Linked DNA regions of Pelodiscus sinensis. The protein of the gene in region 2 purifies or fractionates together with the protein of the main gene of each other region. This does not show direct contact. Links are inferred from orthologs where the notes say so. Each region holds a gene or a part of one and is shown on either strand. Other genes may lie near its edges. The genes, in order: DAAM1, RHOC and RAP1GDS1.

Region 1 (9,775 bases), on a different chromosome or scaffold from region 2:
TATCCCGGAAAAACTCCGTAGTGTAGACATAGCCTGGGTTATAGCTGAAGGACCTGATGTTCAGCAACCACAGTCAACTCCAGTTCCCAGGCCTTGTTGCTAGTTCCCTGGATTCCTTTCTACCTTCTCTATCTTCTGCCTCCCAGGTTATCACTAAAATTTCCTCTGCTCCCTGTAGCTATTTCACCTCCTCTCAGGTTCTTGCCAGTCCATATTCTCAGGCAGCATCTCAATGGGAGCATCTCACATGCTTAACGTTAAGTGCCTGCTGAAGTGCACTTTGGTTTACCCCTCTTAGTGCCATGCCATGCCTTGCTGTGATTACTCACCCCCTCATATCCCTCTCTTTAGGTCTGTCTGAGCCTAACTGGGCATCATCAGCTGTTATGTTAGACCTTATCAACCTTGACTCTTTCCCAGGTGCAGCCTGTTAAGCATGAATTGGCCCTTTTTACTTAGCCAGGCCTTGGGTGGAGTAGACATCCCTCCACACCTAGTATCAGAAAGACAGAACAAAACATACCGTCTTGCAGTTGAAGGCCTGACCCAATTCCAATGGAAGCTAATGAAAATCCTTCAGTGAGTTTCAGAGGAGCGGGAGAAGGTGCCCGGCCTTCAGAAAACAAAAAAATGTGAGCCTTTGTTTAGATGTGTCCGCTGCTGACAAGTCTGCAACCTAGCCCAAGCAAGGATTAAATAAAGCCTAGTGGCCATTTTTCTGTTCAATCGACCAGTTGGGGGACAGGGCAAAGATCTACAGCCATAGAATCTGCTGCTATTTTCTCGTCCAAAAGCAGACCTAAACAGTCAAAAGAAATGTGACCGTTCTTCATTCAGTTACCAATTGCTGGATCTGCACAGTCCCTGACAGTGTCCTTTTATATACTAACCACAATTTCATGTCAGCAGCCACATGACAGCTATGCTCTAGGTCAATGAGCAATATTGATCTTATATGTGTCTAATTCAGAAAATATATTGGGTCTAGTGAGCCCGTATTGGGAGACTTTTCTCCAGCAGACAGTGACTCAATCTAGTCAGGCGTAAAATCAATAAATAAGGTCACACTTAAAGGCTGTGTCTACACTACACTGTTTTGTTGACAAAAGTCAGCTTCTGCAGACGAAACAGTGGAGGTGTACCCACCATGATGCTCTTCCCGCTAGTTTAACTCCCCTGCTACCCCAGCAAAATAAAACCACATTGTCGAGCAGCATAGAGCTTTTTGCAACATAGTTTAGAGAATGATGCAGTGTCACTGTAGATGGCGTGCTTGCTTGTGTAACCCTTCTGTGAGGTGGAGCCAGCAGTAGGTAGGGCCAGGTTAAATATCTCGAGGTTCCTCTCTATCCATCCTATGCAGAACTGGCTTGAGCCAGTAACCTGGGAAATTCTTGTATCACCCCTGTGCACCTCTGAGAGGCAATGCTTCACTGCCCTGCTGAACGCTCATCGCATCTGTCCACCACCACGCTGCTACCAATTGTCCACACCACCACCACCACCTTCCTAGCCTCTTACTGCATCTTTCTGCTGCCGCTCTGCTGGCTGCCATCCACCTCTTGGCTGTGACTTCGGACCATCAATCTCAAATGGTTTCAGCTCCCAGTGATTTCAGGCAGGATCAGTGGTGAAAGTAACTTAAAATTTCTTACAGGCACTGTCCTATTGCAACCCGGGACTTTTGCCAGAGCTGCGCACCAGGGCACGTCTACTTACTTTCACCTCTCAGCAGGATAGAAGAAACACAACGCCCAAGCAATTCACATAAATAAGAAGCTCTTAACAATGCCTGTTTAACTCGGTTCTTTGAACAGTGGGGGGAACAAGTCAAACAACTCCAGGCAAGGGAGGAGATGCAGCCTCCTGACCAGAATAACTTTCCCTCACCCCCTCTCTTTGGCAGAGCTCTAAAAGTCAAGCCCCTGCTTAGTTCTAATAACTGTGAGCCATTGCCTTTGGAACAATGCAGTACAGTCCTACGTTTCTGTATTCTGACAATATTACAAACATTGGTAACTGCTATCCCTGCATTTAATACAGACATAGCTCGTGTTGGGTCACAAATTAAGTTGTATTATAAGGAACAAAATACCACTCCATCCGTTGAATAGCTGGCAAATCTAAGCAAAGGAGGAGCAAACTGTATTTGCATAAACTCATCCAGGGACTCTCTCCCCTTCCAACTAAATGTGATGGAAACATTCCCCCAGTTCCTGCTTACATCTGTGTCACCCTAATTGGCCACCAGGAGGCATCCCACAATGCTCATCATGACTGCTTGAGTTAGCAGTTTGAACTCCGCTGCCCTGCAGCTACACAAGCATGCACCCCCTTTGCTGTTTAAAGGCCTGGGAAATTTTGCTGAGGCAAGTGTAACAGAAGACAAGGAAGGGCAACCACCACTCGGGTGTACAGTTATACTGCTTCTGTGAGGAGCTTCATGCCATCTTCCATGGTGCCCACGCTGCCAGGAGCCCAGTGGATACTTCAGGGGGATGGAGGCAATAACTAGCAGGCTCAACCCTGAGGACAAAGTAGTGGATGAGGAAGGAGAGTTGGAGGAAAATGTGGGACATATAAAAAGGGTGTCCGGTAGCATGGCAAGCCAGAGCGTATTTTTGGCTCTGGAAGGGGTCTAGCTAGTTCCCCACACCAATATCCATCAAACATCTTGAAAAAAATGTCCGTTGTGGATATGTCATTCCAAAGGATTACTTGTACCTTGCGCCAAAGCACCTGGTACTGACTAGTGCTGGAAACAGAAGACTAGATTAGATGGACCACAGCTCTATTATTGTACTTCTGGTGATATCATTATGGGTCTTGGGTGTGAATGCAAAGCAGATATTGGTCCTAAAGAAGAGAACAATGTTAAAATCTGGATAACTTACTCCAACCTGTGCTTCTCATATTACATTGTGTTCTATGCCGTGCGTGTCAACTCCCATAAGGACGTTCCTCCTTTTTCTTTTACTGTGTTGTCACTGGGTCTTCCTCATACCTCTGTGGATGTATATATTATGCATCTGGTTGAGTATGAAATACAATCCTAATGGATATATTCGCTTCTTGCCTTTTGTACCTTTTGTGTACTGAGAAGATGTAAGAAAACTTGCCTCCTGCACCCAAATTTGTGTTTTCTTAGACAAAAATATTACATATGATTAATTTTATATTGAATTTTAATTTGCTCCCAAATGTACAATTAATCCTCTGGTCGACTGTCCACAGCTTTATCTTGTGCAAAGAGGTTATTTTAGAGTCCCAGTTGTATACTAGCAGTCCAGGACTGCTGTGCTCACTTAACTGAAGTTGGATCTCTTAAAAGAATCATTTATAAAATACAGAATGACAACCAGAGAATAGTGTAGGCTGGGAGAATTTTCTTGGGTCACATTAAAAGTAGCTCAAGTACTGTATTAATCTTGGGTATACATGACAACTTGCATCACAATGCTGCTGACAGCACAGTTTAATAGAACATCCCATGTTATCATGTGAAAAGGAATATTGGACTCATTCTCAGATTTATTTTATTTTGGTGTTTTTTTGTTTGTTTTCCCTTGCTGGCTCAGACCTCATTAAAATAAAAAATCCTGGAAAGATCCATAAAGTTGCTGTCTAATCCTGCTTCAGATCCCTTCTTAAGACCTACTTTTGCCATGACATCTACAAAGTGCTACCCCACTGAACATGGTGAGATGGTGGACTGTGTTCTCCTGAGGTATGATTTTAGGCTGATTTTATTGTTAATGCATCCTTCCCCTCCTTTCCATTGTTCCATCCACTTTAATCATAACCTAAGCTCTCCCTGGTCCAAAAGCAGTGGCACGTCACATCTGCATAAAGTTACATATATGCATAAGTGTTTGCAGGATCAGGGCCCTAAATTGTGACCTCTGGTGCAGTGATTGGCTTTTGACTGCATATTAGAATGGTGCCAAGCAAGATGAGGCTGTGCCCTTCGACAGGGACTCTGGGTACTACTGCAATACAAATAAAAAATAATAAATCTGGTGTTGTACCATATCTTGTGTGCTGGTTAAAAATGGTCTTAGCACGTTTATGCCTTTGTGCATATGACTTATTATATTTTGAATATTTGTACATATAATGTGTATTCGCTACATGCATCAATAAGGAATACAATTTGTGAAATGAGGCTACACATTTTTAAATGCAGATTCTGGCTTTCCAGCATGACTGCAAAGAGCACATGGCTGTTTCCCATGCAAAAAGCACATGGCTGTTCTGAGAATGTTTTAATATTGCTTGTTAAAGGGGTCTGACGTTATTTGTGTGCAGGTGATTTTTTGGGGGAGTGGGTGATGCAGCTTTTAGGAGAAAAATTTTAGTCTCCTGGATTATGCATGTTAAAAGTGATACTAATTTCTGGGGTGTTTCTAGCAGTTAGAGGAGACAGAGAAGCCCAGCTGCAGGAGCACTGAACAAAGAAGTGTTGCCTGGTATTAGGGAGGCAGTTATTACAACAGCAGCTGACAACTCTGTCTCTGGCATGAGAAACTGCTGGGGCTGTGGATTTCACCCTGTTATTTCTAGTGAATGACTCCGTTATTGTGGCTGATTAGCCCAGTGAACTGTGTTCACCACGTTTTGATCTGTCCCTGGCGCAATTGTTTGCCAAGCCTTGGCCAGGGAACTTTTTTGTATAAATCCTCGCTCTACAGAGCAAGTGGTTCCAGGGTAGCCCTCTCCAGCCCCTGCCAAACAGAAGCAGCATGCTGTCAATGAGGGCAGTGTGTGTGGAAGAAAAGGAGCGGTAATTTGGAGGAAAATCAGGGATATTTGTTGTGCAACAAGAAGGCACAGCTGGCTAGGTGCATGTGAAGGGGGAAGACTGGGGACAGCAATAGGGTGATGTCCCCCTGTGCACAGCAAACTCTCCCCTAGATTTGTGCCAGATGGGGGGCGGAGGATGAGTTGCCAACCTTCCAGGCTTCCCTTGGCCTCTCCAGGAATTAAATCTTTAACTAGAGATTAGAGCATGTGACGAAACCTCCAGGAATTCGTCCAACCAAAACTGGCCACCCTATGGAGGGGCTGCGGCATGACAAAGGGGACATCCCCACTGCAGCAGCGGCCCCAGCCCCCCTGCCAGGCACACTTCTCCGCAGCGTGCCCACTGGGGAAGCATTCCAGCTGGGGCTGGGGATGGGGGGGGGGAGAGGGCGCTTGGGAAGTGTAGTCTCCGCTGGAGCGCGGCCCTGGCCAAGGCAAGGCGGCGCCGCACTACAACTCCCAGCGGGCGCTGGGGCGCCCCGCCCATCGCATGCGCACTCCGGCCCACCTGGTATCCTATCAGGCCAAGCGGGGATGATGTCACCTGCGGGCTGGCGAGCGCCCGGGAGGCAGGGACCGAGCAGCTGCTGGTGCAGGCAGGGCGCCGCCGCTGGCTGCTGAGGATGCCCGGGCTCCGCAGGTAAGAGCGGGCGGCGGCGGGGGAGCGCCGGGGCTGGCGGGGCTCGGCGAGCCCGGGGCGTGGGGCTTCGAGCCGAGCCGGGCTCCCGCTCCGAGCCCGGGGAAGCGCCGGACCGGCCGCTGCGGGTGGGACAGCGGCGGGTCCGCGCGGAAAATGGCTGATAGCAGGCGCCGGGCAAAGGAGGCTCCGGCGAGCTTCAGCCCTTGCAAGCCGGGCGTGCCGGGACCGGGCTGGGCGAGCGGCGGGGGCTGCTCCGGCCGGCTAACAAAGGGGGGCGGCGGCGAGAGACGCTCCCCGCGGCTCCGGCTTGGGCGCTGCCTCCTCCCCCGGAGCAGCGGCCCGCGCCTGGCCGGCCAAGGGGCAGTGGAGGGGCGGGCGGGCTGCACCTGGGCGGCAGGAGCTGGCGGGGGTCCGAGCTCGGGCGCTGGGTGGCAGCGGGGCGCCTGGGGCCCCAGGGTGTGACCTCCGCGCGGACGGAGGTCGGGGGGGGGCTGTGGCTGCCTCTCGCTAGGACCCCCCCCCCCCCCCGCAATGCACGGCCCAGCCCGCTGCACCCGGGGAGCCAGCTGGGCGGAGAAGAGGCCAGAGGTTTCCCCGGGGGGGTGACACTGACACTGCGGCTGGGTTTCCGCTCCCCGGGCCAGGGGGTCGCGCCCCTGGGTGCTCGTCGGGGCAGGAGATGAGCCGTGACCCGGGGGGCGCGGAGCCCTCTGCTCCGGGAGCGGAAAAGCACCTGGGCTCTGGGCTGAGGAGCTGTAGGAAAACCCAGCGAGCTGCTGCGGGAGACTGGTAGAGCAAAGGGGTGTGTGTGTGTGGGGGGGGGGGGGTCACTACGAGTCAGGTTGCTATGGTGACTCCTACCTCTGGAGCCTCTAGTATTTCCTCTGCTCTGTCTTTTGGGGAGGGTGTGGCTCGTGGGTGTGCCCAGTGCTCTGCACATTCACCCAGGGGAAGACTTCCCACTGTGGGGAGGAAGTGAGGGGTGGGCTGGAATGGACCTCAGAGCACTTGGCTGTGCCTCCCCATTGTACAGGCTCTGGCCTGTGTGTGAAGCAGCCTTGGACTTAAAGGTCCTGGCCTTGGCTCAACTGCATGGGCATCTATGATGGGGCCCTTATGGAGCCAGCAGTGTCCCGCCTGCCTGTAGCCGGCAGCCTTCTGCTAACTGGTGAAGAGAAGCCACTGAACCAGAGAGTAAAAATGAACAGTTGGGAGAGGAGAGAACAGGAGCTAGGAAAGTGGGGAGAAGGACAGTGTGTGCCATTGTTGCACTTGGACATGTCATGAGTTGAGATGAGGTGGGGTGGAGGGAGTACACAGCAGTCTCCATCAGTGCGCTGAGAACCAATTGCCTGGCTGATTCTCTTTCTTCTTACTATTCCCCCTTGGTTGCTCCTTTGTGGGCAGTGAGGATGCCATGGCGCTCTGTTTCTCTAATGGCATCTGAGCAGACATGTGGGGAGCATGCACAGTATCCCCCAGGGTGTTTGTCTATCCTCCTGCTATCGCATCCACTCACTGATGATGTGTGGCAAGAGGAGTGTGAGTGGTGGGTTTTTAAATATGATTTGTATAGTCACAAGTTCAGAAACTTGCTTTCCACATGTGCTTTTCCAAAGTCTCTGGTTGTCTGGCTGGTAGTTGGGGCCTTCTTGGAGATGCATATTGTTGCTAACAGAGTAATTGTTATGAGGACAAGTATAAGGAAGACTAGAGGACAAGTATAAGGAAGACTACATGTCACTCTACAAAATGAAGAAGAAAAGGTCCCTTTCTTGAGGATTTTTACAGTCTAACTCCACACTATGTTGGTGTGTGGTGGATTATAGTACATACTAAAATTATTGTTGTTTGTATTGCCATAACAACTAGAAGCCCCAGTCATAGAGCATAACCACATTATTGTAGTTGTTGTAGAAACAGAACAAAAAGAGGGTCCTTCCTCCCCCCCCCCCTTCGGGTTTACAAACAGTTTTAACACACCAGTGTTAGAGATATCAGAGCTGTTAGTCTGAATCTGCAAAAGCGGCGAGGAGTCCTGTGGCACCTTATAGACTAACTGAAGTGTTGGAGCATAAGCTGTTAGTCTATAAGGTGCCACAGGACTCCTCGCTGCTTTTGCAGTGTCAGAGAATGGTTCTGTGGTTTGAACATAAGACCGGTGAGCAGGGATCTGTCACAGATTTGATCTGTGACCCGGCGTAGTCACTCAAGCTTGCAGTTTTCAATGGTGTCCATTCAGTTTGGATGCTCCCATGTTTCAGTGACTAATTTGATAATGAGGGCCTGACCTTTGTTGGCTTTTTTATGTTTTGTCTCTGAAAGATGCTAAATGCGTGGATACCCCACACCTCTGAAAAATGCTTATAAGATCCAAATGAAGTAAAGGTTTCATACTCAGTGTCCAAAGATGAACATGTAAGAGTTGTAGCCTTTTCCCAAAAATACTGGTCTTCCAATACTGTATATTACAGCTTTTATAATAGGGAATGTTGTCAAATTTAAATAACAAGGTAAAAAGTGGAACTTCTGTTCCTCCCTTCCCCTCTAATATTATATTAACAATTTAATGTACCAGAGGAAATGTGTCTTCCCACTCCTGTGCTTTGTCAGTTTGAGCCTTCAGAATATCTCCTAGTGATGTTAAAATGCCAGAAGTTTTCTGGAGATGTTAAAGATTCATTGGTTCAAACAAATCTCAATCTCCTTGTTTGGCTAGATACTACACAGAGAAGAGAAAAAAGAGGGGTAGATGTTGGTGGGGATTACCCAGATGATGATAACTGGGCCTAACTGCCCATAAGAGGAGAAAAAAATATATAGTTGTTACATCTTCTAACTCAAATCTTGAACCAGTCATGATCCATCCAGATGCCTGAGCTATCCTGTTCTGCCAGTTTATCCCTGAGAGATTCATTTTGATACTGCATGCTATATCCCTAGATGCTGATTTTTCATACTGTACTGTTGAGCCAGAAATGTCTCCTTCCACTTTCTGCAAGTGAAACTTACAAATTACATTTCTTTATAACAATGAGCCTCTGCTAAAGGGATACGTGAATTGTCTTCCTGCAAGCATGGAATGTGTCAGTTCCATGAGGATTAAATTAGTCCCACAATGTCAATTTGTTACCAAAGTCTGATCAAATTTCCTGTCAATCAGAGGAAGGAACTATGTCTGCTTTTTTTTTTTTTTTTTTTTAAAGCCAAACATCCATCTCCCATATTTTTGTTTTGATTAAATCAATTTCAGAGGAGTAGGTATTGTGCCTACACTGAGTATGCTCTGTTTGCAATTGGCTGTCTTCTACTGGGACAAAATTGTACAAGCGATGTTAAGCTTTTCTATTCATTATTTAACTATGGCTTTGATCTTCTAAGGTGTGACTTCAGTGGCAGCTGAAAGCACTCAGGACTTAGCTCCTGGGTTTTTGCGGATGGACTCAAGCCCTTCCTCTTGTGTTACTGTAGGAGGTCCTTTGCAAACCAGGCATACATCCAGTTTTAGTATCTAACTTGGACGCTGTGCTGGCCCCAGTGAAGTAAACAGGATGGGTAGGGGTAAGGTAGTACAGCATTTATTCTTTGATACTTTAAAACTGATCTGAGGCTTGTTTTCTTCTTGCTTCCAGTGGGAATGAGGGACTGTAGCAGGAAGATGCCCTCTTTCAATTCACTGACTGCTAACGCTTCTGTGGCACTCTAGATCAGTGATTTTCAAACTACAGCCTGTGACCCAATACTGGGTTGTGGAATGTCAGGCACTGGGTCAGGGGGGTCAGGTGACCAGCGGGGGTGCTAAGGCAGCTATCTGGCTCCACAGACTGCGCTGCATCCCAGAAGTGACCAGCAGCAGGCCTGGCTCCTAGTTGGGGTGGGAGTCGGGGGGGGGGGGGGGGGGGAGGAAGATAATGTGAACATGGCTCTGTGCCTGCCCCAAATACTCCCATTGACTAGGACCTGCTGCTGCTGGCTGCTTGTGTGGTGCCAGGAGAGGCAGGAAGGCTGCCTTAGCACCCCTTCTAACTGGGAGCTGCTTAAGGTAAGCCCCTTCTGCATCACCCCTGACCCTCCTCCTCCAAAGTCCTCTCCTCCTTAGCCCCACTGTGGAGCCCACACTCTAGTCAAATTGTGTTGGGTCGAGGGTACCAATAATTTTCTTCAACTGGGTCAGGAGGAAAAAAAAAAGTTTGAAAACCCACTGCTCTAGACAGCCCCTCCCTTAGAAGATGGGAAGGTGGCAGAGGAAGAGACAGCAAGTCTGACTGGGTTATGTTTATCTCTTTGCTTGTTTCCTTTCTGAGCTGTCATTGTTTCTATTCACCTCCCAGA
Region 2 (10,043 bases):
CCACAACCAAACCTTGCATGGGGTAAGCTTTCTGCCAGGAGAAAGTTTTAAGGGGCTGTTGGCAGTGCGGGGACAGTCACTCACTAAGGCCGGCGGCGGAGGCGCGAGGGGAGGGGCGGCGCTCCGAGCGGCAGCTGCCCCACTTGCCTCTACCAAGCCGTTCCACTGCACAGGCACGTCCGGAGTGGGGGAACCCCCTCCTCTCTCCTGCCCGTGATGTCACTCGGCCCGGGCCCCTCCCCTCCGGCGGTGGCGGAGGGTTGCCAAGTGATGGCAAGGGATGCAAGTGATGGAGCTCGCAGGCCTGCCAGGGGGCGGTTGCGGGCGCAGGGGGGCGAGGCCAGCAGGGAGGCAGCGGTGGTGCTGGGAGCGGCCTGGGGTCCGGTGCAGCATCCTGGTTGCGTGGCGGGGAGTCCGGCTCCTGCTCGGCACAGCCCGCAGGAGAGGGGAGCTCCCAGTGCGGCTCCATGGTGCGGCAGGTAGTGGGGCAAAAGTTATGGGACAGGTGGTGAGGTTGTTGGCCCCCGCGGCACCTGCAGCCCCGCCCACCCTAGGTCCAGCGCTCGCCCCCACCTGCCCGCCCCTCACACGGGGCACTCCCACCAGGATCCCACCACCCACCCGAGCAACGCCGGGTGACTCCAGCTAGTCCTGAATAAAACTAATTGTTCTCTGGTATGTCTGCCGGAGTCCCTCTCTCTTGGCTCCGCTTTGCAGGGGGTTTCACTCACACCCCTTCTCACACTGCGCTTGAGAAATGTGGTCCTATGTGTCCTACAGACCACTCACAGCTGTGATTGCATTACACACACACACACACACAAAAGCTCTGCATTGCTCCAAGCTGGAGAGCGCCCTGTTTCCCTGAGAAGTCACCATGAGGACCACTCCACAGAGTGGCTAATGGGGCATTGCGGGAGACATGCCGAAGGTCAATCAACTCAACCGAAAGCCTGCTGCACAGTGCCCACTGCATATGTGACTGTCCAATAAAGGGAGAGAGAGAAAAGTCTCATGTGGAGGGGGAAGTTTTTTGCCACCAAAACTGGGCGTTGGTTGCAACTTTTGTTGTGTCAAAATGTGGCCGCTATCTGGGTTTGGGTGCCAAAAAGGAGCAAGGGGCACCGGGAAGTACTGCCTGCTGGGGCTGATCTGCAGGTGGCCGAGCTGGGAAGCCCGGCTTTTGGCTTGAAGAGGAGACGCTGGAGGTGCAGACCAAGGGTCAGCAGGAGCTGCCAGGGGTGGGGAGAATTGGGGTTTAAGATTGCCCCTCCCAGCACGGTGAAGGAAGCCTGAAGGGGTGGTGTGTGGACATACCACCTGGATGGTGCCTGGTGTTTGGGCACCCAATTCCCAAAAGCCTTTGGGTGCAAATGGTTTAGGCAGGGTGTCCTTTTCACTGGCCACACAAGGGCTTCTCTGTGCCAGTTTGCAGAGGGCCCAAGGTGATCTCGGACCACAGTCCTGGGAGCAGGACTCCCTCTTCCCAGCAGTGTTGGTGCTCCTCGGGAGGGGCAGGAAGGCGTAGAAGCCTCATGCTGGGAAGTGTGAGTCATTGCAGGGGCCGGTATAGATCTGGGGGGCTGCTGGAGTCCTCTCTCTTCAGTTCCTTTCTGTGACTCCTGCTTGCACTTTCTCCCTCTCCTGTCTCCAGTGTTAGCAGGCGTGTGCACACACTCTCTGACACGCACACACTCTGACACACGTGCTCTCTGACGCGCTCTCTGACATGCACACATTCTAACGTGCACTCGGATGCACGCGCTCTCTGACATGCACAAGTTCAGATGCACACACACACTGACACTAACATGCACATGCTCTCTGACACACACACTTGACACATGCTCTGACACACAAGTGCTCTCTGACACGCACACACTCTGACACGCTCTGACACACAAGTGCTCTCTGACAAGCACACTCTCTGACACGCGTACTCTCCTTGCTTGCAGGGGAAGGTGCGTTAGCTGCTAGCTGCTGACGAGAAGAAGGGGCATTTGCTTTCCTGGAGCCCAGGCTGAGGGCTGTACAAAAGAAAGGAAGTCTGAGAGGAGCTGTATTTAAATTGTCCTTTTCTGTTCCCTTTCGGTGCAGGGAAATGTTTCCTTTGGAGCCAGTTCCAAATCTGAAACTCGGTAAATTAAGAAAAAATGTCCCTCTGAGGCCAACCCCCCCTCTGAAATAGATCCTGGTCGGTCTGAGCCAGGTCCCAGAGCTGGCTTTCCCTCCTTGCTGATTCACAGCTAGCAGGGGGATTTCCAAGCGGGATACTGGTTATGCTTCGCCTTCCCCTTCCTTCCCTGGCAAATCCCTGTTTGACGGGAAAACACCGCTGAGCCAGGCTGCTGGGTGCGGGACGAAGCAGAAGATCTAACAACAGGCTTGTGCGCGTGTGTTACCCACGGCCACTTCCCTCCCTGCATTGCTTGTTCCCTCCTTGTTGGCCATTGGCTCTGGCGTTGGATTGTGAGGTCCGCCGCAGCCTGCTACTCTGTACCTGTGTCACACCTGCACGAGGGGGCCCTGCTCCTGACGGGGGCTCTGGCACCTGTTTATCACTGGGCAGATCGATCCAGGCCCGGGGTGAGTCCAGAAGGAATGGAGGTTGGGGGAGCGACAGGCGGGTGACAGTGGGGCAAGATGGTAAGTGTCAGTAGGCACAACAGAGCTGGGGTTGAAGTAAGAGGTGGGCAGCTCGCAGGGGGCAAAGAAGCTCATCGGGCAGGCGGTGAGGTGGAGGGATGGTTGGCCTGCGATACAGATTTTAGCAAACCGTGGCACTCCTGGTGCCGTCTGGCAGACAGGGCGACAGACCAAGGGGTCAGGTGCCTGTTCCCAGCTCTGCCACTGACCTGCTTTGTGGCCATGCATCAGTGGTTTCTCCTCTGCCCCATGCCTGCCCAGCCTGTTTAGGCTGTCGGCTCTTCAGGGGAGGGGCCAACTTTTGCTCGGTATTTGCAGGGCCCCCTTCGGCGTGTCCTCTAAGCCTTGCTGTGGATCATGGTGGTCAAGGAGGAGAGGTGAGACAGGCCGGGATGCATGGTGGGATGGTGCAAGTTCCCTGTGTTTCAGGAGGAAAGTGCTGCTAACCGTGTCTGGTGGAAGGGGTTGGGTGACACACCTCCAGCTATTCCTGGACCCGTCCGGCAGAAACATGCTGAGAATGCTGGGAGTGGGTCCGTAAGTGGTGAGGAGGCAGAGATAACAGAAACATCCCCGTGGTGTTTTCCTCGGCTCCTTGTCACCGCTGGAAATGGTTCCGCCGGCTTTGCTCTCAGTAACGCCCAGTGCAACAGCAGACTCTAGTCCACACCAGCCCTGGAATCTGCTATCATCACAACCACAATAGAATCAATCTAGAGCTTTGCGTTGGTAGGAGGTTTTTCACCTAGCATGCGCACGGTAGGTGACAAAGGTGTGTAAGCATCATTGCCATAATTTTACAGATGGAGAAATTGAGGCACAGAGTGGTGAGAGCAGAAGGCTGAGGTTAGAATAATGCCCAGTACTTGATTCCCAGTTCAGTGCTTCAGTCAGTGTACCACCATTAGGTTGTCCCTTTTCCTATTGAGCTCTTCACATCTTGCACTGTCAACCTGTGGAACTCCTTGCCAGAGGATGTTGTTATGAAGGCCAGGGCTTTAACAAGTTTCAAGAAAGAGCTAGATAAATTCATGGAGGCTATTAGCCAGGATGGGTAGGAATAGTGTCTCTGGCCTCTGTTTGCCAGAAGTTGGAAATGGGTGACAGGAGAGGGATTACTTGATGCTTACCTGTTGTGTTCACTCCCTCTGGGGCACCTGGTGCTAGGCACTGTCTGAAGACAGAATTCTGGGCTACATGGACCTTTAGTCTGTCCCAGTGTGGCCGTTCTTAAGAGACCAATGATCCAGCCAGTCTCCTATCCTGACCCCAGCAAGGACCAAAACAGCTGATCACTCCTGGAACGCTGTTCCATTGCAGCTGCACGTCACCAGCTGGAGACCAGCTTCTGCCCTGAGCATTGATAGCTCTACTGACTGTATTAGAGAACACTCTTCTTATTCCCTACAGTGGAAGTCTAATCCTTTCTTTGAATCAATAAGAATTCTTCCTCTCCCCTGAGACACCGGCCTGCTGACAGATGAAGTGACGGGTCAGGAGGACCAGCCAGGTTCAGTCTGTGCTGTATCCGCTTTGCGGGGGCTTACATCACCTTCTGCCCCCTCTTCTTCCAGTTCCTTACTGTGTGATGCCGCACAAAACGTCTACCCTCTGAAATAAACAAAGAGCTTTCTCCTCTTTTTGCTGCGGTGGATGGCTGTAAAGACAGGAAGTGCCATCGCCGGCAGAGCCAGATCCTGTTTCCTGATTCCTGCTTTGGGGTTCTTATTTATGTTCATAAGTGACACTCCTTGCGTGTCACACAGCTGCAGGAATGTGTGTGTGTGTGTGTGTGTGTGTGTGTGTGTGTGAGAGAGAGAGAGAGAGAGAGAGAGAGAGAGAGAGCTTCACATGGCTGACTGTGTGTGAGTGATAAATGTGACACGCTTTTTTGTGCTCCTATTTCACTGAAGCCTTAAATCTGAAGTCCACTGGCAATTGGCCACAGCAGACTAGCTCTGAGACACAAGATAGTCTCGCCACTAGCCATGCAGAAGGGATGAGCTCTTAGATCAGGCTGGGGAACCTAAGACTCAGGGGCCCTATGTGGCCCCTGGCTTGTCTGGATCCGGCCCCCAAGGCTCAGCGCTCCCTGGAGGGCACATATTCTGGGATTATTGCATGCTGGTGCTCCAGCCCTCTGGCCGTCCCCCCATAAGGCTGGAGCACACCAAATCTATTAGTCTAGACTCTGCTATGCGAGGGGAATGTGGGAAGCCTCTTTCTCTTTCTCAGTCAGGGGCCATGTCCGTGAGGGGTTGGTTGGTTTTTGCTTGTGTGCAGCCCCCAACTGGTTTTTCAGTGGCCCCCAACCCAAAAAAGGTTCCCCGCCCCGTGTTAGATACATGGAATCAGATAGCCTGTGTCATGCTGTCACGTGATAGATATGAGATGGACTACTAGGTACAGCTGGCTACCGGCCATGCTATACAGCCTGGCTACTATAAACGCAACGAGTAATCCTGTGGCATGTTAGAGTATGTCTACACAACAGCGTTATTTTGGAATAACATAGTGCGCGTCTACACAGCAAGCCATTGTTTTGACATAATGTCGAGCTGGAGGACTTCTTACTCTGACTCCTGTAACCCTCACTTCACGAGGAGAAAGGGAAGTCGAAGAAGGAGTGCTCTTCCTTTGACTTCCTGCTGTGTAGACCGCGCCAAAAGACAAATTAAGCTATTTCAACTGTGGCTACGCAAGGCATTTAGGACAAGCATTGTCATTGACTAGGGCTTTAGCACAAGGCAGATGTGTCTGGGTGCACTGCGATATAAATGATAAAATATTAGATGGGCAAGATGGGTGTGATATGTTTTACTGGACCACTTCTGTTGGTGAGAGTGGAGCTTTGAGCCACAGGTAGCTCTTCTCCAGCCTCCCAGCTAAATGCAGGGGAGGCGGCCAGAGTGGGCCCCGGGGTGTGAGTGTCTTGGGGAGTTCTTCCTGCAGCCACTGCTCTTTCCTCCCCCTTCCCCTCCCCCTCCCCGGCTTGTGCCCAGTCTCCCAGCTCCCCCCGCCAGCACCCTGTGAGCTCCTCCTCCTCTGTCACCCCCACCCCGTACCCCACCCTGTGCCCCCGCCAGCACCCTGTGAGCCCCCCTCCTCTGTCACTCCCACCCTGTACCCCACCCTGTGCCTCCGCCAGCACCCTGCGAGCCCCCCCTCCTCTGTCACCCCCACCCCGTACCCCACCCTCTGCCCCCGCCAGCACCCTGCGAGCCCCCCTCCTCTGTCACCCCCACCCCATACCCCACCCTCTGCCCCCGCCAGCACCCTGTGAGCCCCCCTCCTCTGTCACCCCCACCCTGTGCCCCCCCTGTGCCCCCGCCAGCACCCTGCGAGCTCCTCCTCCTCTGTCACCCCCACCCTGTACCCCACCCTGTGCCCCCCGTACCCGGCCAGCACCCTGCAAGCCCCCCTTCTCTGTCACCCCCACCCTGTACCCCACCCTGTGCCCCCGCCAGCACCCTGCGAGCCCCCCCTCCTCTGTCACCCCCACCCTGTGCCCCCCCTCTGCCCCCGCCAGCACCCTGCGGGCCCCTCCCCCCTCTGTGACGCCCGCTGCCCGTATCCCCGGGCGGCCCCGCCCCGCAGTACCCGGCGGGGGGGCGGTCCCGGCCGGCCCCGCCCTGCCCGGCTAAGTGCCGCTCGCCGCGGAGCCCGAGCAGCCGGAGCCAGCGCCCCAGGTACCGCGGGGCGGGGCTGTGGGGAGCGGGGGGGGCTCTGTGTGCGGGTACCCGGTGCCTGAGGGGGCTGTGGGGTGAGGGGGGCGCTGGGGCCGGAGGGGTTGCGGGGGGGAGCCGGGCTGGGCTCTGGGAGTTCGGGGTGTGGGGGTGGCAGGGCTGTTCTGGGGGTCACAGGTTGTACAAGCGGGGGGGGGGGCAGCCCTTCTGTCTCCTACTCTTATTGGGGGAGGGGCTCTTACCCCCCTTCTCCCGGGCCGGGAGCCGCCCCCCCCCCCGTGCTGCAGGGGGGCCCAGCTCTGTCTCAGCACAGCCACTGATGCGGGGCAGGTGGGCAGGAGAGGCTGTGCTAGGTGTGCCCGTCCTCCCCTGGAGTGTGTGCTCAGCTGGTGGGGTGGGGAGGGAGACCAGGCAGCTGAGCTGAGCAAACATCCCAGGGAGCCTTTCCCTGGCCAGCTCTTGTTCAGCACAGCTACTTCCCCTGCCTGGGGAGCTGCCGGGGTGCAGAGCAGGAATCTCCGCGTCCCTGTCTGTCTGTAGGTCCAGCACAACCAACAGTCCTGCGGCACCTTAGAGACTAACGGGCGTTTGCTGTGGTGGGTACAATCCACTTGTTAATCAGCCAGTGCCCACTGCTTGGGCTCCCTGGTCGCGCTCAACTGTGGCATGCCCCCAAGCGACAGAAGTTTGCTTGAACTAAGCAGGCTGAAATGGTGGTGGTCTTCCCCATCTCCTCCCCCCCCCCCACACACACACTTGGCTTTTCTGTGTGGGAGCACGCTCCTGGGGTGCATTTTCATGTCCTAGGTGCTGTTTCCTAGTGCTAACAAACAGCATGTCCATCTCCTCGAAGCCTGTGCTCCTTGCTTCCTGTAGGTAGCCTTTAAACATGTGTGTTAGGAGCTTTGTAATGGCTTTGGAGTACAGAAGCATTCCAAAACCATGACTGCGCTGCTTTCTCCAGCCCTAACCGTCTGGCAGCCAAGCCCCTTGAATCCAGCCTTGGCCTCCTGACAACGGGAGCGTAAAACAGTAAGAAGTTGTGAATCAGTTTAGAGTGTGCAGTCTGACTGGGAAACATGTTGTGTGCTGAGACCTCAAGCTGATGGAAACTAAACTGGGTCACAGATAAAGAAAATGTCACCTTTTATGCAAATTGTGAAAAGGTTTAAATTGTGTTACAGGCAATAAACTATTTAAGGGCTTCAGTTATGTGTTCCCACTTATATTCCACTTTCAGTCACGCTTTATTGTCTCTGTGCCAAGTGTCTGCTGGCCTCCCATAATTTTCCTTATAGCTACATGTGAGAGCTAGGGGTTTTAAAGTGGAGTCCTAGATCTAGTAGAAGTTATTTGCTTGCAGAGGTTCTATCAAAATGGAAAAAGCACAGAGTTATGTGACCCACTTCCAAGAGGTTATCAGAAGTTTGTGTAAACAAAACCACATTGTAATCTTCTGTTTGGCATGGAATGCCATGAAATGTAAGGAATGTATTAGACAAATATTGATTGGCCCAACGCGATAGCAGTACAAAACTAAACAGGTAGAAACTGTTCCTGAGGCTGTGATGTATTATTGGGATTTGATATATCACGTACTACACATTCTTATTGAAGAATAAGAAACCTATGCTGCCTTAGAAACCTTAATGTGGAGGGGGAGTTAAGGTCTGTGTTGTTCTCCCCCCTCCCCCTAATTTTTTCCCATCCACGTGCAGATTTTTTCCATCCATATGCGAAATAACTTTTTCTATGTGCACTGGGGCATGTGTGTATGTGCACCACCAGTAGAATCAGAGACCTGGCTGTGGGTGCTCCGCTTATGAGTGGGGGGCATTTGAATCCCTCCTGGGTGACCGCACAAGCACACTGCTTACAAGGATCACTGGTTAAGGTGTCTGTAGACTCTAAAGCGTGGTGGGTTGTAAGAAGGTTTCCTGTAAGACTCCTCTCCTGGAAGACTGAGATGCACTGCAGTGACATCAGCTGGCTCTGGATGTTGAGCAGTTGTTTGCCTCACTTGAAAAGCAATGCCGTGGAACATAAACTTCCACAAGTACAGCTGCCGTCAGCTGAACTCAGACGTGACTTACAGCCACGGAAGTTACGATCTTGCAGCACTTCTCAGAGCAGGGAATAATCCTCGCGTCCTGCCCAGCATCCCTCCCAACACAATGTTATAAACAAACCGTTGTGTGCGTGCCAAGTGTAAAATGGCAGCCAGGTGAGCCAGCAGGAATCCAACGCACTGCTGTGTCACGCATGGGGATGCACAGAGCAGGAAAGGTGGTACTGCATAGAAAGCCAAAATCTGGTCTTTCAGGGTTCCTGCATCACATGAGATCCTGCTCAGCAGGCACCTGATTCCTGGATGCTGCTGAGAATTAATTTATTTTACAAGGAGCTCTTGCTCTGCCATTTGTTTAATGAAGAGCCTTCTAATTGGCAAGCTGCTTCATAAGCACGTCCATACAACAGGTGAAATGCACAGTGGGTGTTGCCTTTGGGGAAAAGACATGAGGGCAAGTCTTGGACCAGGGGACACAAGTCATGCTGACTCCAGATGGAGTCAGAAAAAATGGAAGAAAGAAAGCCGTCTTCAGATCCTAGTAGGGATGTGAGCAGCTAGCTGGTTAATCAGTAAATCTTGCCCATGCGCTTACAGTTAACCAGTGGGGGCTGCTCCAGCCCTGTGCATGAGGTAGGAGGCCTGCCAGCCCCGTTTATTTGGTTAACCAGTTAAATTTCCCATTTGACCAGTTAACTAATTGGGATTAGGATGACAGGAGCCTTCCTTACAGTTTGGTTGCTGCACCTTTTGCTTAAAAGTTCTTGAGTCAGATCCTTGACTCAAAGGAGTCTGGCTTAGCAACGATAAAAGTTAGCTTTTGTATTTGTGTATTGTGACACAAAATATCTCTTCAGGATTGTAGCTCTGCACTTTAATCAGTGCTCAGTAGTAGGTGAGGGACATGCTGAATGCATATGTGATTTATTGATACCTGTTGCCACCTGACTGTTTGTTACTGAGCTGAGACAGAAAGCAAAGGCATCAGTTTCACTTCTGTTTATAGTTGGTTTCTAGACCATTTCACTTTCTCTTTTTCATGAAGCATGCTACAAGCCTTGCAAAGGAAAGGGTTAAATCCAATTCACTTGGTTTCATTACATATTTATTTCTAGTATGAGGATTTGTAGGATCTTTAAATGTAAACTTCAGTTTTGAGATGAAGCTCCTTTAAGAGATAGGTTTATTCTAATAACACCCTGCAAGTGGCCATGCGTGTTTGGGGCCTGGAGGGCCAGAATGGAGGCGTTCATAAGTTATAAAGAAAAGGTACCTGCATCTGTCTGAGACCCAGCATGCCCCTCGAGATGATTAGGTAAAGGAATACAAGTGCTTCTGGGGAAGGTTGTGGGCACAATGCAAGTTTGTGTGGGAGTTGGATTGTTCATATGTGAGGCTCATGCTTGTAGTCATGGGTCTCCTGTGTTAATTGTGAGTAATGATTATTTGCATGAGTAAGAGTTGTAGGCTTGAGCTCTTGGCTTTGTGTAGAACCCAGACTGTGCTGCCTACAGCCTGTATAGATGTGAAATTGTGGTCAATTGCTTTGCCAAAACATGCCACTTTGGTCAGATATCTGAAAACAGGGATGGCTCCAGAAACGGAAGACAAAAAATAGTCTTTGGTTTCTGATGTGTGTCACT
Region 3 (10,300 bases), on a different chromosome or scaffold from region 2:
AAACCATCCTTACTGGTTGAGAACACAGGTATATTGCTGGCTACATAACTTTGTTCTATAATTCTGAAATTCAAAGTGCAATTTTCATGGTATTTTCTCTGGGAGAGACAAGTTTTCATTGCTGAGCACCAGGCAGTCGTTCTTACTATCTCTTTCAAAGGATTTCTCGAATTATTCCTCCACCTCACTAAGGAATTAAATGACTGATTGGGGTACATTTAATGGGCTATAACATTGTTCTTTCTAATGTAAGCAGGGTCAGGGTAAGCTCTACTTTGACATCTGGTGGTGAACTGTGGCGAGTGGTGCAAAGGGACTTCAGGGGCTGATCTCATTTGCATAGATACACCCAATTTGCATAGATACACCCATCCCATCTAGAATGTGCTCACAGCAGCCCAAATGGTCACTTTGGCCACTGTGGGTTCCCCAGTCTCTCTGTTATTGAGGCAGGGGGGATAAAAGTGTTTTACCCTGATTATGTGAATCAAGGACAATGGAATGATGGAACTGTTTATGACAGAGGGATTCACCATAAACTAAGTAGCACTCGCTAGACAAGGGGCATGGGTTCCAAACCCAGTCAGATATTGGGGGGGGGGGGGGGGGTTGGGCGGTCTTTGTACCTGGTGGTAAGGGCCTAAACAACACCAATCACACTTCCTTCTCTTTCCACTGTGGAATATCAGAACTAATTTGGATTCCATTAGGAGTCTAGTTGTGAGCTGCAAAGTTGACTTCACTGTAGAGCACTAGCACTGAGGTTTCTCTATTATGAGCTGAACTTGCTGGAGAGTTGAAATCACTGTTGCTGAGGGGAGCCTGGTGTTATGTTGCGGAAGATCTGAAATCACTGTTGCTGTGGGGAGCCTGGTGCTATGCTGCTGAGCTACTAGCAGAGCAGTTTGCAGGGACAACCAACAAGCACAGGTGGACAGCAGAGCGGTTTGCGGGCACGACCAGCAGGTGCAGGCGGACAGCAGAGCAGCTGGTGGGGACGACCTGTGGCCGGTAGGAGCGGCAGCAGCCAGCCAGTGGAGCAGCTGCAAGAGCAACCAGCTGGCGGCCAGGGGCGTGGACCGAGACGGCTGGCAGAGCCAGACAGTTCGTGGGACAGCTGAGGCGGCTCACTGGACGACAGGTGGAGTGTGGTGGAGTGACTCGCGTTGATGGTGGCGGCAGAACCTTACGGAGAGGCAGAGCCATCGGCGGACCACGTAAGGTGTGTCAATCCCCACCCCTCCAGGTTGGGATGGTAAAACTCAGCCAGGTGAACTTTTGAACCCTGGGGCAGCACTGACCCGGGGCAGAGACTTTTGGGGTGTTGGACTTTGGGTGATTTTTTTGGGTTGCTGGACTTAAGAGACTCTTTGGGTGTTGGACTTTTGGGACTTTGGGTGATTTGGGGCTGGGAGAAGGGTCTCTGCTCATGTTTGGTCTATGAATCTGAGTTGTGGTGTTTTCCCAAGTTAATGCTGATGTTGGTTACCTCATGTTATTAAAGGTTTGCTGCTATACTGAGGCTCTGTGCTTGCGAGAGGGGAAGAACTGCCTCTTTGAGGCGCCCAGAGATGTATGTAAGATTTCCCAGGTCACTAGGTGGGGACTTGAGCTGGTGTTGTATTACCTTGTTGGGATGAGACCCCTAGATACTGAACCCAGCCCTCGCTGCTATTAATTCGGCCTGGCAAAAGGGTTACACTAATATCTATCATTAGCCCCAATAAAAACATAATACATTGCTTCTCTTTCCCAGTTCTCCCAAATACTGTACTTGTTTTTAATTATCTTTAATGACATGACCATTTCATTAATTTTAATGAAATTCACACAGGCTTTCCCAGTCATCTTAATACATCATATTTCATAGTGCTAACCTGTTATAGGATACAATGCACAATTGTCTTTCATACAAACTGCATCCCACAAAGCTTCTTAAATAACGAGAGCCAGAGGCTCCCTAAAGTTAGGATATAGTTACAAAGTCCAAGTAAAAAAATATTACTGAAAGATACGGAAATGAATAATCAAAGACAAGGAAGGAAAGATATATTCTAGAAGAAATCTGAAAATTGGAGAAGATTGATGGAGCAGAAGAATACAGAAACCTTTTGCTTCTAGGATAATTTATGAATATCTGTGTTATATCAGCTGTCAAATTATGCAAATTGCAGATAAACAAATATCAAGTTGCTATTTAAATAATGTGCAGATTCAAAGCCCTAGGAAAAAAAATTACAAAACCCATGAATTGCATGTGCAATTTTTTAAATGATTTTTTCCTACATTTTACTAAAAAGATGATGGTATAGATTCTCCTTATCCCCTGGTCATGTATAAATACACAACATCAACATAATTGGATGTACACATAGACCTGTATCTATTCCCAGTAAAGTCAATAGCAAAAGTGCATTTACTTCAATGGAAGCAGGTTCTAGTGAATCATAGAATCCCAGGGCTGGAAGAAACCTCAGGAGGTCATTGAGTCCAGTTCCCTGCCCAAAGCAGAACCAATTCCAACTAAATTATCCCAGCCAGGACTTCGTCAAGCTGGGACTTAAAAACCACTAGGATGGAGATTCAACCACCTCATCCAGGTCACTAATAAAGATGTTGAATAAAACAATTCCTAGAACCGATCGTTGAGGCACTCCGCTAGAAACCGACTGCCACCCTGACATTGAGCCGTTGATCACTACCCATTGGGCCCGACAGTCTATCCAACTTTTTATCCATCTTACTATCTGTTTATCCAATCCATACTGCCTTAACTTGCTGGCAAGAATATTGTGGGAGACCGTATCAAAAGCTTTGCTAAAGTATCATAAGGTTACAATGATTTAAATCAACAAACTGTATTGGTCTGTATCCCACAATCCTCTGTAACCAATAAAGTAATTTGTTAATAAAAAGGAACAAACAGGAGGGTGGAACAGATGCTAGATAGAAGCACTACTGGTATTGTGCAGGGGTAATTTGCAGTTGCTGTAATGTGAGGTTACTGCTGGTCCTATTTTTTTCTTGACTTATTCATATGAGTTGTCCCATTGCTTCCAATTAAACTACACATACAACTAAGACAAGTAGAACTGGCCCTGCAAAGCACCTATTATTCATATTCTGTGTTACTATTCTTAGGTAGTTATTCTGGCAAGGTGCCTGTTAATGTGGAAGACTGGAAAAAATAAAGTACTCAGTGAAGCTCACCTACAAAAATAATGGTTCCAGAAGAAAAGTTGCAGACATAGTATTAAGTCCTTATGAGTAAATATTTTCCTGTCATTCCATATCCAGTTTTACAGAGACCAAATATTCTGGGGAAAACACCACCACCAATTCAATAATACTTCATGCTTCGAGTATTTCATGAGAAAATGCTATGTTTCATACATATCTTTTTGTTTAGAAAAATTTACATTTCAGTTTTAATATTTATGGTTTAGACTACACAAAGCATTTGGTTTTATCTATTTGAGGAAAATTTGTCATATATTTTGCCTTTCTTCCATTTTAGAAAGGGACATTGATTCTTTTGACCACAAAGTTCACCTTAAAATCTGATCTGATACTTTATTCCCCTCCCTCCATTTCTCTTTTTGTAAAGGGCATCTTTATTTGTAAATTGTTTCTATTAAAGAAAATGAGAGAAAATCAAGTTGTTGCTTACTGTTCAAAATCACTCCATCTACCTTTTCATAAGTGTGACATTTTGTTCAAATCCAATATGACACACAGTATGGCTTTTGGGATACACCTTTACCACTGCTTTCTGCTCTCACAGCTAACAGGCAAAAGTAAAAGTATTTAAAGATTACTTTAAATCGTTCCATCTACTGATCACATTCTGGATACAAGTATTTTTAGTGTTTACTTCTTCTTTATGACAAAAAATCACATCAGAAAACCTCAGCCATAGCAAAACAAGTTCACATTTGTGCAAGATTTAGGACTGCTGTGCAACAGTGAACATTCTTAATTTTCCAATAGCTTTTTGTTGAGTCTGACATTTTAAAGTCAAAAAACAAAACACAAAATAATTTACTGTTTGTTCTCCTTTATGAGGTATGATAGCCGAATAAGTACTTTTGGGAGGCAGAAGTTGGCTTTTTTGTTTCTTTAACTCATGTCTTCCTTACATCTTTTTCCTAGAAGACTCTGGGAAAATGAGAGAGCTGGAAATGAGAGAGCTGTTTCACGCAGTGATTCCAAGTCCTCAAAAAACAGTTCTGTCCTCCAGTTTAAAAAATAAGTAAGTCACATCATGATACTGTAGTTTAAATTTTCCTTTTGATCACAATGGTGCAATGAATCCCACTGACATCAGGATTGTATCATTTTAATTGAGAAGAAAATTTTGCTGTTTTTTAGCAGAAAAGAAGCTACTACAGAGTTCAAATTACTATAAACATTAAAAACAAAAACAAATAAAAGCCCACTATCAAGAGGTCAGTTTATTATATATATTAAAAACTAACAAACATAACCCCACTATGAAAAGGTCAATTTATTCTAAATATTACAAACAATAACAAAAAAAACCAGGTGCTTTCTTTTTTGTGATATCTGTACAAATAAGATTGTAAATTCTGTGGGTGGAGACTTTAATAAAATCTTGTATCTGTGAAGTATTATGCACATCTTGGACATTTTCTAGTAAGGTTTTATACTGTTACCCATCACTGAAATATGTGAATGTCTTCCATTTAAAATCAATAGCAATACTGAAAACCTGATTAGAATGTATGATGTCTCTGAGTCATCTCCTTTTTTGGGGGATCTGCTTGGGGGTATGGTTTTTGTTTAGATTTTTTTAAAGAAACAATTAAATTCCTCTTTTGAATGTTTTGATTAGCAGATGTTTAGGAATCAAAGAGATGGAAGTGCTGTGAGTGTCATTCTTGTGGCTGAGAGTCTATTTTTAAAGAGGAAATAATTTATTCTTCTATCATTACTTTGAAAATGAAAAATGGGATCAGACAGCATGTGTTGAACATGCTTTTCCTTGCCAGCATAGACCTAGATATGTTAAAATCACTTTAGGTCCATTTACTAGGTTGGTTTCCAACTGTGGCCTTGTCTTCAGTGGAAAACTAGCCATTATCCTGAAGCCATTTTTTACAAAAGAGTTTCACAAAATCCTGCAAAACCCCAACAAAGAGGTTGTGTTAGCCAGTGCTAGTTCATGTCGAGATGGGTGATGGAGAACTTTTTTTTTTAAATGATACTCTGGAGTATTATTTAACCAGACGCTGTTTACAAGGGTGGAATATGAATCCAATGTATAGGTCTTTACAAAACAGATGCAATTACCTGGCTAGATGGGCATGTCTCTGCATAGCTACCTCTTTCAATGCAAGCTCTAAACATGACAGAGGATAGCATATCCAAATGTAAAATGTAAATCTCCTTCCCTCATTTTCTCTGGCTGCCTTAACATGTCTGTTAGCATGTTCTGCAAATGATAAAACAACGACGAAAGAAGAACCCTCGTTTATACGAAATGACAATTGCTCTAATTCTGCTCCGGGAGGCTATGGGGGGAGGAAGGCTGCACAGGATCTGGGCTGCGCGGGCTGTAAAGCCCTTGGCATCGTATCGATCTGGACAGCTGAGTTTGTCTGCAAAGCCTCCGGCGCCCTATGGCTTTCTAGCCAGGGCGTCTGGATCCCCAAGGGCAGCCCGCGGGTGGGCAGGGCACGGAGAGGCCCGCTGTTCCGCACGCCCTGCAGGCAGCCCGCGGGGGAGAGGCCACGCGCGGAGGGGAGGCACCTCACTCCAAGCGGCTACTTTTCCGCCACCTCGCTAGCGCTGCTACTGTGCGTCTCTGCGGCTGCCTCCGCAGCTCCTCCTCCCGGGGCTCTGGGTGTCGCTGGGCCGGGTGTCTCCAGAGGAGGGCCTTGCCCGGATGTACTACACTGACTCATAATCCAATCGACACAGGCAGCGAGACACACACACTCGCTGCGCTGAGCTGCGCCCGCTTCACTCTCCGCCTCCCGTCCCCGACAGCAGCGGCAGGGCTGGCCGGGCCCCGGAACGCGCGCAGCCCTCCCCCTGCCGCCGCCTGCCCAGGGGCTGCTCCTGCCGCCGGCCGGCCGGCTCGCTGCCGCAGCCGCCCCGCCCCAGGACCCTGCTGCTCCCGCCTGTCCCCCCCCGGCCGCTGGACTGAGGCGCAGGCGGCAGCTGCCCCTAGCAGGACCCAGAGAGCGGCTCCCCTCCCGGCAGGAGCATGGGTAAGTCGCCTTCCTTCAGCCCCCCCAAAGTTATGCCCTATGCGCCCTGTGCTGCAGCACCCGGGAGGCGGGAGGGCCTGGGCCCCGTGATGCCCAAGCAAGTCCGCGGCTCCTCTTCCCATCCCCCTTCCCCGCTCCCTGGCTTCCGTGCGGCTCCCTGTTTTGCATCCTCTCCCCCGTCGCACTGCTCCTGTTTCTCCCAAGGCCGGCCCCTTCCTCCCCCTCCCTCTGTGGCGGGCCGGTGGGAGGAGGAGGAGGTGGAGGAAGACGACTTCATGCAACTTCCTCAGCCGCTCTGGTGTTTCCCCTGGCGGCCGAGGAGGCTCAGGGTGCAGTTTGCTTTGGCAAGGGCTGTGCATGCTCGGCAGGGAATGCGGGGACTGGGATGGGGAGCCATCTCCACCCAGCCTGGGGGTGAACCAGGCGAGTGAAAACACACCAGTCCCTGCAGGAGGCAGCGACTTGCTCCATGCTGGACTAGCGGGGGGTTTACAGGGTGTGTTTTTCCTGGGCTGAGCTCCGTCTTTTGATCACTTCAGGGATAGAGAAAGGGGTGAGGTAGCAGGAAGCTGAAAATAGTCAGGGCACCTTATTTCTGAACTTAAATCAGCGGGTTTCCTTCTGTTCTGAAATGACAGTGCAAAGTTTCTGCAGGCTCGTGTGATACTGCCAGTTCAACCGTCCTGCTGGCCTTAGGTAGGCTGAATGTCAATTTTAATAAAGGCAATGCACTCAAATATAAGTTGCCTTACAGTTTATGGATACAGATTTCTTAGGTGGAAATCAAATTCTCTAAGTATCAAAAGGAGATTTGGAGCAAGTAGTCAAATAGTTCATTCAACAGACTGAGTTTCGCCTCTTCTGTTTGTGTCCTAGACAGCTGGATAATACATTACATAGACTACTTATGTTCCAGTCTTACCTCTGGTGTTCCTCTGCATGGAACCACAAAGATCTTCATTTTTACCCTGCCCCATGATTTTTAAATCACCACGTGTCTTGTGAAGAACTGCAGTCATGTTATCTGGCTGTTAATTCCAAAATCTTATTTGCTAATGGAGACCTCCAAAACAAACACACAATGAGCTAGAAAGGAGTGCTTTCTTATAGCCCAATGGTATGAGTGCTGAGGACACTATAATATACCTCATTGGGTTTCATCAGGAATTAAAGACAAAGCATCTCTCCCATAGAGGCAATGATAGTGCACTCTAATAGTTTAAATGCAGGCTAAGAAGTCAGCAATTCCTGAAGTCATAATCCTAGATCTGACACTTACTTCTGCTGCTGCCTTAGATGAGTAACTGGTTTCTTTTGAGCCCATATACATCTTTTTGCCATTTAGTAAATGAAGATTTCCATAGATAGTAACAAACTCTATATTTTAGTTTCCTTGTCTGTAAAACAAGGATATTGCTTACCGGCCTTTCAGGGCAGTTGTGAAGATTGTCACTTTTATAAAGTGTTTGGAGGAAGAAACCCTCAGAAGCAGGTACTGAACTTTTTCTTGGACATTGTGATAGGGTTCTAGAAGTCTCCCATTTAGTTGAGATGAAAGGACAACTCCTTGACAACTAACTAGGAGATATTTAAGGACACTGGTCATTCCTACTTTTGTGATCAATGTCATAATCAAATTGCTAGTACAGAATGAATGCTGCATTGTACTCTACAAAAGGTTCCATTCCAGTGGTGGGTGAGTTTGTAAATTGCTCATGAAATCTTTCTAGCCAAAATTATTACATTAGCAGAGATAAGATGACTAGGAGGGTTTCCATTCAGTGTCTGTCAAGGATGCTCCTTAATTGTCCAATGCTTGTCTGTATTTCCGCAGTGTTGATTTCCCGGTAAATCAATCTCCCCGGGTTCAATTTAGGGGCTCTAGTACATAAATCAATCACTGATGGCGCCCCCATCGACTCTGGTACTCTACGGAATCTTAAGGAGTAAGGGGCGTTGACGAGAGACAATCTCCCACAGTGGAGATGCCATGGAAACTGGACCTAAGGTATGTCGACTCCAGCTACCCTATCATATAGCTGGAGTTGTGTATCTTAGGTCAACTTTTTTCTTTAGTGTAGACCTGACCTGTCCAGAGAGATTACTGTTGACTAATACAAGAAATGCCCTGCTCTTATTTTTCCCCATCCCTGCACGCATCTGGACCGTATTCTTCTGCCATTTAGGCCAGTGGCCAACTTATAACCTCCTCTGTAGCAGCTCTTGTTGTTCTGAAGAGCCAGTGACCACAAACAGAATCTTCCCACAGCCAGCTAGAGGTTTTCTGTTAATTTTTTTTAATAGCAAACATGACAACTTTGAATGTTTAGAGTCTCTTGATTTTGTGAGCTTAATCATTGTAGTTGCTGTCCCTGCTCAGCTCCAGCATGCTCTCCTACTTTTATTTGTGCAATGCATAACTATTGGAAAGCCTCAGAAAGTAAGTATTGAGGATGAATTTTTGCAACACTAAAAATATCTTCTTCAAGCTGCTATTAACTTGGTAAATCATACTTAAAAATCAAGTATTTGCGGCAAAGAGAACTCAGAGTGTTTCATGATTTAACATACTGAATATTCTACACTTAATAAGCAGGTCAGAATCGGATTAGTAGATTTATCCACTAATGATGTAAAATGGAAGCCTTGGAAAACATTCATATTCCAATCAAAAAATTTGTGCCATTAAAGAGATTCAAATGAACACGTGAGGCTGTAGGAGCTCTGCTGTTAAAATGCCTTTCTTGTCACTGAGGCACCAACAAATTATTTCTCTGTAATCATTCTTCTGGCAATGATTTGCTTCTGTAGGATTGAACTTTTTCCTATCATACTTGCCCTTTGCAAATTGTGCTTTTGTCCTTTGAATTTATATTTAAAAGTATTAATTCAAGCATTACTTTAAAAATGGTTGATTTTTAGTCTTAAACATTCCTTTTGCATGTTGCTAGATTTTTTTTTAACTGTTCTTGGAAATACAGCATTTTGAGCACTTCGGATGACACTCACGGCTGTTGTTTTCTGTACCTTTTCTAATGAAGATTACTTGTGCATTTTTACAATAGTACCTCTTGGTTGGTATTTTGTATCCAGCTGCTTAAAGATTAATCTCTTTATTTTACTTCCTGCAGCATAACTTTATGTTTTATCAATCTTGCAATGATACTGTGTCCTAAAAGACTTCACTATAAAATTATATGACATTTTGGATGATGGATTCAATTCATTCTTATTATGTATATTAATTTCTACCTGCAGATTAAACTTTATGGATTTAAGAGGGAGTCTGCATCTAAGTTTCTTTATGTCTTTCTACAGCACTCAAAACAATAGCTTCTGTGTGCCTCTTAAAAACGCCCACCTAAAACATCAATTCTGTCTAGATGGCTGTCTTATTTAAAGTATAGCCCTTTAATCTGTTCTCCTTTTGTTACTGACTCAAATCCAATCCAAAGAGAAACCTGAGTGAATAGAGATTTACATTGCCCATTTGAGGGCCCAGTTCTTTCCTACAGAGTCTGTACTCACCATTCAGTCTATGTGTTTCCTTGCAAAGTGTACAAAATGCTAAATATGCTCAGGGAGTGTCAGGATTTGTGTCAGCCGGGTGTTGATGGTGTTGAGCTATCACGTACAAACTCTGGATTGTAGATGGCACACTTTGGCAAAGATATAGTCCCCGTTTTCAGAAGATTGCTTTTGTGCATGCTTCCTTCTGTTCACCTTTTAGAAGGAGCGGAAGTGTGTTTCAGCAGGAGAGGCTGAATGCAGTGTGACTTTGGTGAAGAAAGGTTGAATGGGATTAATTTATTTTTCAAAAAAAAGATGTGTAGAGTGGCAGGAGGATGGAATTAAGTTGAAATAATCTTCCATTCTGAAAAGGTTCTTTTTGCTACTCCTCTCAATACTGTGCAGGCTATAGGGGAGAGTGGAAGACTGCTCTGGTGATAATGGGTATTGCCAAACTGGGAAAGTAAAATGTACTGCAATCATAGTAGAACTAAGAGGGTTATCTTATCAGCCAACTTCTTCTGCAGCTGTCCTGGATTGAATTCCATGGTTTG

Evidence for each region.
Region 1: the proteins of RHOC (region 2) and DAAM1 purify together in Homo sapiens (affinity purification with mass spectrometry; 3 studies listed by BioGRID and IntAct, counting the BioPlex papers as one, with this or other methods). This does not show direct contact. The link is inferred for Pelodiscus sinensis from reciprocal best matches to the Homo sapiens genes RHOC and DAAM1.
Region 3: the proteins of RHOC (region 2) and RAP1GDS1 purify together in Homo sapiens (co-immunoprecipitation; 3 studies listed by BioGRID and IntAct, counting the BioPlex papers as one, with this or other methods). This does not show direct contact. The link is inferred for Pelodiscus sinensis from reciprocal best matches to the Homo sapiens genes RHOC and RAP1GDS1.

What each region holds. Positions count from the first base shown.
Region 1 is NC_134714.1:12,056,439-12,066,213, forward strand, and holds the start of DAAM1 (disheveled-associated activator of morphogenesis 1), read left to right. Parts: upstream 1-5,301; 5' UTR 5,302-5,443; intron 5,444-9,775. UniProt on the Homo sapiens protein: Binds to disheveled (Dvl) and Rho, and mediates Wnt-induced Dvl-Rho complex formation. May play a role as a scaffolding protein to recruit Rho-GDP and Rho-GEF, thereby enhancing Rho-GTP formation. Can direct nucleation and elongation of new actin filaments.
Region 2 is NC_134737.1:2,005,858-2,015,900, forward strand, and holds the start of RHOC (rho-related GTP-binding protein RhoC), read left to right. Parts: upstream 1-6,259; 5' UTR 6,260-6,335; intron 6,336-10,043. UniProt on the Homo sapiens protein: Regulates a signal transduction pathway linking plasma membrane receptors to the assembly of focal adhesions and actin stress fibers.
Region 3 is NC_134715.1:22,176,898-22,187,197, forward strand, and holds the start of RAP1GDS1 (rap1 GTPase-GDP dissociation stimulator 1), read left to right. Parts: upstream 1-5,819; 5' UTR 5,820-6,232; coding exon 6,233-6,236; intron 6,237-10,300. UniProt on the Homo sapiens protein: Acts as a GEF (guanine nucleotide exchange factor) for the Rho family of small GTP-binding proteins (G proteins) that stimulates the dissociation of GDP to enable subsequent binding of GTP.